Canis lupus familiaris: one gene and its partners. The protein of the gene in region 1 interacts with the protein of each later gene in a pairwise test. Links are inferred from orthologs where the notes say so. Each region holds a gene or a part of one and is shown on either strand. Other genes may lie near its edges.

Region 1 (4,105 bases):
GCTTATCCTAGTTACTGCCTCTGTAGTTCTCTGAAAGGTAAGCTGCATGTAGAAAATACGGCCTCCTCTTTTCATAGCACAAAGGAGAAAGGAAAAAGACATCATCTGACATATCTTTATTAGGAGTGCTTAACAATAACAGACTCCTAGCTATTCTCTAAATTGAATAATGCATTAAACAGTAAAGAATATGTCCTGCAAGAAAATCTAGATTTCAAAGCATGAGCACAGAAATGGAAAAACTCTGACATCAACACATAAATTGGGCACAGACCTCAACTCTTAATAAGGACAGTATTTTTTAACTTAAGTCACAATCACTCTATATTAGATTTTCAATGTCTCCAGATTGCCATTTTTAATTACTTTTCTGCTCCTCACTAATTAATCGTACGTAATTTCAGGTAACTTTTGTACTCTCAAATATAATAAAAGTATTTTTTAAATGCCTAGTTATATAAATACAATACATTCTATTAATATTACATAAATGACCAATGTTTCTTTTTAAAAACCCTGTATTCAGTTGGTGATAATCCAGATGCACACCAGAACAAAAGACTTAGCCCACAATGGAATCCGAATGTGCTAAGAATGAAATCTATTAGCCCAATGGGAACCTAACAGTCCCATTTGCAAAATAGCTTTTCTTTGCCTCAATTCATTCCAAAGTATATAAGGAGTAAAACAAAAATACCACAACCTGACTCATCCCAACAAAAAGGGGGGTTGAGGGAGACTGGGATTCTCTTTTGCAAAAAGCATAGGAAGATTAATTATTTCTGGGTAAAAACATACTGAAGAACAGAACAGTAAAATTAGGGAACAGTTCAGTGATTTTTCAGGGGGTGAGGATGGGTGGGGGGGCTGATTACAAACACACAAAGGGGACTTTTGGGAGTGATGGCACTCTTCTAGGTCTTGACTGTAGAAGTGATTATATAAATGTTGCAACTGTCAGAATTCATAAAGGGTAACCTAAAGAGGCTAGGTTTTACTGTATATAAATTATATTGCCAGGAACCTGCCTTTTTAAAATGGCTATAATGTCCATTTCCACTAAATTATGAAGTGTAACATTCAAGTATACAGTTCTCAATGTTCTAGATGTAATTAGGAAAAAACTTACCAGTAAATGATTCAAGTTCAGCCTTCAGTGTTTTATATAATCATTACATATTTACAAGTATTATATAAAGTGGCTCAAAACATAAACTAAAATTATCAGATGTATTTTGCACCATTACTTGAATATAGATATATAGAAAACTGTAGTGTTTTACTCTTAAAAATGAACATTTCAATATCTATTAGATGTTAATTATGTTTTGAAGGGTTAAATTTACTACTAAATTTTACCTTTTCCATATTATAAGTAAACTGAGGAATAGAAAAGGTCATTAGATTCATTTGAGTCCCTCAGAACCACTATGAAATGTATTCTGTGTTTTTAATAGATTTCAGAGATTTTCAAGTCTTAAGAGTTACAGGAGACTGGCTGTTTTTGAAATAAGAATGTTTCAGTAATTCAACTGAAAAAAAGAAGATTGAATGTAAAATGGATCCTAAGATTATGCTTTAACACCTTACATTCTCCCTCTTCTTGAGTATATGCAGAAATATAGATTTTTCTGCAGAAAAAATAAAAGGCAAAGAAGAAGTGTCATAGTCAGAGAACACATACTTTTTTACAATACTTAACGGCAGAAACCTTTCTTTCCACATGTTCACTTAAGTAACGAATACCTTTCTCCACATATAATAGCCACTGTGAGTTCAGAAACTTAAAAGTAAAAATTCCCAATGGCATGTCCATGAAAATACTAAAAGTCTAGTAAGGCAAAAATCTTACCTCCAAAGGGTTGTGTACTACACCAAAGCACAAAGCTGCTTTTTTAAAAAGCTAGTAAAATTGAGTCAACCTGGTTTTCCTAAATAGAAATTCACTCAAACCCAAATTTTTTTTACAAAAAAATATTATTCCCTTGACTTAATTTTAGGCTTCCGAAATGAATCAGGCACGAATGGTAACACAAAGGGACAAGAGAAGAGCAGCTGGCTTCCTCTTCAGCAAATAAAACAGACCAGATCTTAGATCTTGCTCAGTTCACCCAGGACAGAAGCAAATCTGTTTTTTATATCACTGAGCAGTGGCACTTAATACATTTAAAACACCGGTCACCTGCTTGATCCACGTACACCTTCCCAGGCCCACAAAACTCAAGCATGAAGTCCTCGTTCAACTTTCCCACGCTCATCATTTCACCCTTTTTCGGGAAATCCATAGGAGGAAAGAAGAAAGAAAGAAAGAAAGAAAGAGAGAAAGAGAGAAAGAGAGAAAGAAAGAGAGAAAGAAAGAGAGAAAGAAAGAAAGAAAGAAAGAACGAAAAGAAAGAAAAAAAAGAGGAAAAGAAAGAAAGAAAAATAAAAGAAAGAAAAGAAAGAAAGAAAAAATCTAGAGTTTTTTTCTTTCAAAAAGACACGTATCAATCCGGAGTTTACAGGCACAAACTAATTAAATTAACTTGCCAGCGTCTTGAGTGAAAATACTTAGAGCGTGAAATTTCTGTTTCCTATAGTTTTCAAGACAAGTGGTTTCGGGCGGAGGCGGGGGTCTGTCATTGTTCTCAATATTGCTGCTTTCGCATCCTTGGCTTTCACACAGAGGAGCAGACAGTCCCACCTCGAGCCGGCCGGGGGGCCCTTACCTTGCAGGTGCACGGCGCCCAGGGGTCTCTGTCACGCGGGCCCGGCCTCTCCCGGAGCAGCCGCCCGCCGCGGGCCCCGCGGTCCCGGGGCCGGAGAGCGCGCCCACCGCGCGGCGCGGAGCCGGAGCGGAGCCGGAGCGGAGCCGGAGCCCGAGCGCAGCTGGATCGCCGCCCGCCGCCCGCCGCCGCCGCGGTCCCCCTCCGCGCTCCCGCCGCCCCCTCCCACCCACCGCAAGTTTCCCCGGCGGTCCCCGCCCCCTCGGCGCTTCGGGCTGCCTGGCTGCAGGGGCGCGAACCCGGTTTCAACAGGTCCAGGAGCCGGAGACGCTGCAAAGATCACCAACGACTTAACGAGGAGCCTCTCCTCCCTTTTAAAGACCCGGGGGCGGCGGAGAAAGCCTCCAAGAGCCCACGTGACCACCGAGCCGGCTGCCCAGAAATCTCGGGAGGACGCGGACTCCCCGTGTCTCGCCATCCACACTCACCTGGGCGGAGGGAGAAGCCCCGGGGAGCGAGCACTCGAGGCGCCCTTCCCGCCGGCCTGGGTTTGGGAGGTCTGGGGCGGGGCCTGAGAATGCGCATTTCCAACCCGGTGCAGGACCAAGCCCAAACGGATGCTGCCCGGTGGGGGGGCCACACTTTGAAGATTCACGTCCCTAGACCGTGCCCCACGTGGGTCTGTCAGTGGATGCTTCGGGGTCATTTAAATACAGAAGTCTGACTTTTTTTTTTTTTTTTAAGAATTTATTTACTCATGAGAGACACACAGAGAGAGAGGCAGAGACACAGGCAGAGGGAGAAGCAGGCTCCGTGCAGGGAACCCAACGTGGGACTCGATCCCGGGACCCCAGGATCACGCCCTGAGCGGAAGGCAGAGGCTCAACCACGGAAGGTGCCCCCAGAAATCTGACTCTTAAGAATCCAGTGGTGAAACTAGAGAGGCTTTGGGTTTTCTCAGTCCGGGGCCCAAGGGCAGGTTCGTGCCCCTGGAGAGGCCAAGCCACGAGGCCGTGGAGGTAGATGGCGGGTGCGGGTTCTGAGCGGCCGGCTGGGGAGGCCTTTCGCCTTAGAGCAAGGAGCCCAGGAACCTCCTCACTCACCGCTGCCAAAAGAGGCAGCTGGGGGGACATCTGCCTCTGCCGCTGGCGGCGCCCCTCTTCCCTCCGCAGGGCCTCCGTGGAGCTCCCTGCAGGCCTGAGCCCCCTGGTGGCAGCTCCAGTCCCCCAGGTCTGCGGAGTCCCCAAGCTCTCCTCGCCCACCCTGCAGCACAGCCCACAGCCTGAGGACTTTCCCTAGTCGTTAAGCAGCACCTGGCGTTAGGGCAGCCACTGGTGGCGAAAATCCAATGGTAAGTTGCATATGTCCCATAAGCCATTCTCAGACCCCAGTGCCACATT
Region 2 (2,975 bases), on another chromosome or scaffold:
CATATAGACTGTCGCAAATAACTACCTAGTTGTGTCCCTTAGTGGTGAGGGAAAAGGGAGGAGACGAAAGGTCTTTGGGTTTTTCTCTAGAGTGGATCCAGCTCCACCCCAGCCTGGCGCTCCTGCAAAACACAGCACACACACAGCCACATCACCCTGTAAGCACGCCTGTGACCCCACACAGGCCTGACAGTCCCTCCCGGCCCCCAGAGTGTCAACTGCCACCATCCACCCAGGGCATCTGCATCCTGAATGGCTCACCCTGTGGGAGTCCTGGCTTCACTGGTGCATGTCAGACACAAGCCAGCCTCTGCCAGATGTGCTCACTCTGGTGAGTGCAGACAGGTGCAGTCTGTCTCCAATCTGATCACGTCTCCCCCTGGCCTAAAGCCCTCTAGCCACCAGCGTGGCCCGAACAAGGCCCCTCCCACCACAGTCTGTCCTCACATCCCACCCCTCTCACTCTCCAGCACACGGTAGATGCTCAATAAACCACAGGCCAAACTTTGAGGTCTGTTTGTGTTTAATCAGACAATATGCAAAGTATTTACAACCAATTCTGGATCCCTCCCCCCCAAGCCTGGGCCGTGAAATCTGGGACCCCCAGGCCCTGCCCAGAGCTGAGGGTCCCCTAGGCCTCTGCATAGTCATCTGAAATCTACAAAACACTGTTTATTTAAAAAAACAAAACAAAACAGTATTAGGACACCTTATACAAAGGGCCCCGGGCAGCTGGAAGGGGGACTTGAGAGCACGCCGGGGTCAGCGAGCCCAGATCCGACTGGGACGGACAGCAGACTTGCGTAATAAACATGTATGAAAGGAAAAGTTGAAATTTCATAGGCAGGCACCGCTTGGCCTCCTTTCCCACTGGCAGGGCCTGGCTGGCTCGAGCACCCCTGGCAGCAGGAATGTTATTGCTATGATGGGGGGCTGTGGGTGAAATGTACAACATGTCTCGGGGACAGAGCAGGGGAGCATTTTTACATGTTAAATATGGACATACATGGAAGAACACACATGTGCACACACACACAACGCACATACACACACATGGGGCCCTTGGCAAGATGCCCACAAACCGTCAGCCACCCCTTTTAAGATGGGCACACCAAGGCCCAGGGAGGAGCCACCACATACCCTAAGGCTAAACACCAGAGCTAGGGCCAGAGAGCCTCCGGATGCCCCAGGCGGGGCTCACCAAGTGATGCCAGGCCACAGGGTCTGGAGCAGAGCAGTTGCAGAGGCCACGGCCACACATGAAGGCAGACACTGCAGCCGAGGGAGGAAGCAGGGGCCACCCGAGGTCACACCGCCAGCACAGCCAGGCTTGGCACATAGCAGCGGACACTCATCCTCTCCCACCCCAGCATTAGGTACTCCTTTCCCCGCTCATGAGTTAAGGGGTGCCAACTTGGGGAGGAGGGCAGGCGCCAGGCATTGAAATGACACAGGACAAACTGGGGTTCCTCCTGAGGCCAGGACCGCCCAACCACTTAGATCTTCTATTTCTGTTCAATTGCGTCCGGAGCCTGGGAGCTCACTCTCTTTCATGCTGGCTGGCCCCAAGGATGAGAACCACTCACATTCTGTTCGACATCTTCCCAACGCCTGCATGGTCACCCCTCATTCCTAGCCCCGCCCTCCGTCCCCCTCCACTCTCTCCCTGCACAGCAGCCCCGCCAGGCAGGCAGTGGCAGCAGGACTCTCTCTGCTATCTCTAATTCAGCCTCAGGCCCCTGGTCCCCTAGGCTGCCCTGGGCTGTCCACGCTGCCTCCAAGGACAATCTTGTTGGTTCCTGAGGAAGACAGAGGGAGCACCGGGTTCCGAACCCACCTCAACCCTGAACTTCTCTGTGGTCTTGGGCAAGTCACATCCCCTCTCTGGACTGTTTCCCCAGGGGTACTATGAGGACAAGGAATTGGTGATCTCTCAGGGTCCGTGGGGTCTAAGAACAGGACTTGAGGGGGGTGCCCACCCTACCCACCACCATGAAGTCAAGCTACACCTCAGCTGCACAGCCGGGGAGCCGTGGCAGAGGGGCCTGGAGCCAGCAGCTTCCACCAACAGGTGTTTCAGAAATGGACGGCAAGGGGTAGGGTGGCGGGCAGGCCGTGGGCCAGGGGCCCATCACTCCTCTTTGGAAAGGCTCTTCGGCCAGCTCTGGAGGCAGACCTGGGATGACATGGAAGTGGGAAGGAGCCAATGTGGGGAGCAGCCCGTCCTTCTTCCTGCTTCCTCCTGCTGAGCAGCACAGAGCTCCAGAAGGGAAGGCTGGGGGGACACATGTGGCCGGAGCAGGAACCGGGATGCAGTCACTGTGCCAGCCTTGGACCCTGTCCCCGAGGCCACCCCAGGCCCCAAGCCCTTCCATGCCACAAAAGAGGGAGGGGCCTCATCACTGACAATTCAGCCCCACAGAGGGGATCAATGCAGGCAGGCGGAGGGAGGCAAGATCCTACATCAGGGGCCACCCAGCCCAGGATCCAAGCCGAGAAGCCAGTCTGGCCCTGTAGCTTGCTCCCTATAGGTTCTCTCCCGGCTGGTACTGGGGCTCGGTGGATGTGAAGTAGTCCTCCAGGAAGGCCTGCAGGTACTCAAAGGTGGGTCGTTCCTCAGGCTCCTTCCGCCAGCACTGGCACATGAGGTCGTGCAGGGACTCGGGACACTCAGGCGGGCAGGGCATCCGGTAGCCCCGTTCCACCTGGTCAAGCACCTCACGGTTGACCATCCCTGTGGGTAGAGGGAAGCATGAGGAGACTGGCTCTTGTGAGGAAAGCCAGGTGGGGGGAGGATGATGAGGAGAGCAGAGATGACCTCTCGCCTAGGGCAGGGGGCTGTGATCACGGGTAAGTCCCCTCCCATGGCAGAGAGCCCTGACCAGAGAGCCCCTAAGATGGGATACTCAACCTCTTTATTATACAGATGGGGAAACTGAGCCTGGGAAGGGGTGTGGTTTGCCCTAGATCACCAG
Region 3 (3,518 bases), on another chromosome or scaffold:
GAAAACAATCTACTGGGGCACCTGGGTGGCTCAATTGGTTAAGTGGCTGGCTTTGGCTCAGGTCATGATCTCAGGGTCCTGGGATCAGCCGGGAGTTGGGCTCCCGACTCAGTGGGAAGTCTGCTTCTCCCTTTCCCTCCGCCCCTCCCTGCCATTTTTGTGTGCTTGCACATGCATGCATGCTCTCTCTTTCTCAAATAAAATCTTTAAAAAAGAAAAAGAAAAACAATCTATTGAATGTGTTCACTATTAACGTGGGCAAATTCAGGTCAAATAAAATTGACTTACACTGGAATCCCTCTAAAAATTAAAAAAAAAAAGTTCCTTCTTGAAAAGACTTAAGAAATATTAAGACTCCTTATCCATTTAAAGTGCTTCTTTCCAAATTTAAAAATTCTTTCCAAATTTAAAAAACAAATTTGAAGTGTGCTTGATATTACCTTTTGGAGCAGGTAATAACTTCCCCTATATATTTTGTAAGGCCTTGATTTTTAAAAAGAATCTGTTTAAAGTATTTCTTGGATTGTATGAACTACTAATAGTTCTTACAACACCCAAGTGCATTGGGGAAAATTAAAGTAGTACAGAGAGTAAAAGAGAGCCAATTCATTTACTTAAAACTGGTTAGTTATCGCAGGAATAGCTGTTTATAGATTAGACACAAATAATTTCATATTCCCAGTTTACATACCAGATTTCCAACATTAAGCAAATACTAACCTTCACATTGCTAGGATATGGGCAAGGGAAAAAAAAGGATTTTTTTTTTTCCTCACTGGTGGTGTTAATAAAATTGGTTCTTCCAAAGGACAAAGCATCATAAAATATAGTTTTATTAATTATAACAAAAAGTGAATCATGTTATACAGAAAATATTAACTCTCAGTTTTTGGTACCACTTATTGATATCAACACTAAATTTTTTAAAAAGATTTTTTTGTTTATTTATGAGAGAGAGAGTGCACAAGCTGGAGGGAGGGGCAGAGAAAGGAGAAGCAGACTCTGCTGAGCAGGGAGTTTGACCCTGGGTTCAATCCCAGGAACCTGGGATAATGACCTGAGCTGGAGGCAGACACTTAACCAACTGAGCCACCCAGGCACCTTGACACTCAGCACTAAATTTAGTTTAATGTTTCTATTCACCTCTCAGGAAGTTATTCGGTGTTAAGATTAAAGAACAAGATCTAGAACCAAGTTTCCAGAATTAAGAAGCCATTCCTTAGTGTTTTGACCCTGAGTCAGTTATATAATCTCCCTGGACCTCAGTTTCCTCTTCTGTAAAATGATGATAATTATAGCACCTATATATCATAGAGCTTCTAAGGGATTAGATAAGTTAATGCATGTGTTATACTTAGGAACAAACTCTGGAAAATAGTGCTTAATTAAAGTTTGCTATTGACCATTGCCACAGAGTATATTCAAAATCATAGAAAACACAATTTCATGAGACATTTATATTTTGCTTTGAAAGTAAACTTGACCTAGAAGACTTATAGTAATTTGTTAGTGTAAAATGTTTTACCATTTCAGACTTTTCTGAATTAGTCATTTGTTAATTTCATTAAGCAAATGATATGCACAATTTTATTTTTTTATGAGTGTTTCACTTATTTAGAATTACCTGACTTAAATATTCCAATCCAGGTGGACAGTCTAATGGAGGTGGTGGTGCTGGCATCCATGGTACCCCTGCAGGTCCACCTGGCTGATTATACACTGGCTGGTGTTGGACAGGAAAGCCTACTGGGCCAGCACCTAAATAATCAGCTGGTGGAATTGAGTAGCCAGCCTGAGGGCCAGGATAGCCAGGCTGGGGGCCGGGATAGCCAGGCTGGGGGCCAGGATAGCCAGGCTGGGGGCCGGGATAGCCAACCTGAGGGCCAGGATAGCCAACCTGAGGGCCAGGATAGCCAACCTGAGGGCCAGGGTAGCCCATATGTCCTGGAGGCCCTGAAATATAAACAAGTAAAATAATTTGTAACTGCACAGAAAATTTGAAACATGAATTCTTTTGGGATTACTCCTAAAACTCTACAAACTAAAATTTCAACTCAGAAATCCTGTTTTTATGAAGCTTAAAGGTTGTGTTTTTATCTTTCAGCGATTTTTCAATGAAATATTTGTGGTTTCATATCCACTCCTATACGGCTTGGGGCTGGGAGTAGGATTGGCCCAAGCCTTATCCACCACTCAAAATTTTCAATTTTCAATTTTCAGTTGAAAATAGTCTTGAAAACTAGGAAAGTGACAGGAAATCAACAATGATCTAGAGTCACCTACATAAAGATTCTGGAATGCCCTAATAGAAAAGAGAGATGGCACGGAGTAAAAGGCCCAAAAAGGCTTGGAATCAGCATTTCTGAAACCAAAGTATTGTATAAAAATATGATAATTCTGGAACTGTAGGAAACAGTATCTCCTTTATGTATAGAACTAGGGGTGGTTTTGCCCCCTCAAAGAATATGTGGCAAAGTTTGGGTATATTTTTGGTTGTTTCAGCTGGAATGGAGGGTGATACTGGCATCTGGTAAACAGAGGTCAGTGATGCTGCTAAATACTTCCTGAAATGCTAGAATAGTACCCTGAAAAATAAAAAGAGTTATTCATCTCCAAATATTATAGTGCTGCCATTGAGAAACCTTGGCATAAAGGTAAAAGCATGTTGTTACTTCCAATATTGTCCAGATGCTTATCTGGGTGAACAATCAGCCTGAAATTTTCAGGCATGGTACATTCCTATCCTAAAACCTCCTACATGAAAAAATCATCCAGTATGATAGATTACAAATTTAAGTTTTATAATTTACAGCACTCTGAAAAATATAATTTGAGAACTAAGGAAGATAAAAAGTTACAATAGGCAATCTTAAGTATTTAAGAAGCACAGGAGAGGAAGAAATTTAATAAGCGTATATTCTGTATTCCATGTGAATTTGTGATTGCAATGGAACTTCATAAGCTTCCATGAGTAGTCCACAGAGTAGCAATCCCACAGGAATGGAATATAATTTCAAAGGAATGTGTTTCATAATATTTTAACAGGAAAGGCTATATAAAATTTAATACTTAGATTATGTAATTTATAAGTACTTAAAAAATCACTGAGGCAAAACACATACACCATTAAAAAGATTTAGAAGAGACTAAATCTCATACTAATATCTTTTAAATATAGTTTTTATAATTCATTCCTTCTTACAATAAATATTTACCAACATTCTACAATGTGACTGGCTCTGTTCTAGAATCAGAGGACACAGCTATCAACAGGCAACCTGCCCTCAGGAAGCTTACAGGCAACTTTTGGGAAAGGGAAAATAAATTCTTTGATTTAAAAGATTTCAGATTGAACTTATAGAGAAAATGCATGGTGGAGAGGGAAAGGTATCAATTCGTTACATTAGATAGAAAAAAAATTTCTGTTGAGATCTAAAATATGAGAACAGAAAAGCTCTGTGTAAAGATCCGGCAAGAAATGTCCAGGAGGAAAGAAAACCAAATGCAAAACTCTTCTA

Evidence for each region.
Region 2: the proteins of ESR2 (region 1) and SRC interact in a two-hybrid assay, tested with the Homo sapiens proteins (2 studies listed by BioGRID). The link is inferred for Canis lupus familiaris from reciprocal best matches to the Homo sapiens genes ESR2 and SRC.
Region 3: the proteins of ESR2 (region 1) and PLSCR1 interact in binary tests that used the Homo sapiens proteins (3 or more experiments, as listed by UniProt). The link is inferred for Canis lupus familiaris from reciprocal best matches to the Homo sapiens genes ESR2 and PLSCR1.

Annotation. Positions count from the first base shown.
Region 1 is NC_049229.1:38,987,327-38,991,431, forward strand, and holds the start of ESR2 (estrogen receptor beta), read right to left. Parts: upstream 2,819-4,105; 5' UTR 2,709-2,818; intron 1-2,708.
Region 2 is NC_049245.1:26,586,644-26,589,618, reverse strand, and holds the end of SRC (proto-oncogene tyrosine-protein kinase Src), read right to left. Parts: intron 2,735-2,975; coding exon 2,526-2,734; 3' UTR 506-2,525; downstream 1-505. UniProt on the Homo sapiens protein: Non-receptor protein tyrosine kinase which is activated following engagement of many different classes of cellular receptors including immune response receptors, integrins and other adhesion receptors, receptor protein tyrosine kinases, G protein-coupled receptors as well as cytokine receptors.
Region 3 is NC_049244.1:42,179,990-42,183,507, forward strand, and holds part of PLSCR1 (phospholipid scramblase 1), read right to left. Parts: intron 1,954-3,518; coding exon 1,625-1,953; intron 1-1,624. UniProt on the Homo sapiens protein: Catalyzes calcium-induced ATP-independent rapid bidirectional and non-specific movement of phospholipids (lipid scrambling or lipid flip-flop) between the inner and outer leaflet of the plasma membrane resulting in collapse of the phospholipid asymmetry which leads to phosphatidylserine externalization on the cell surface.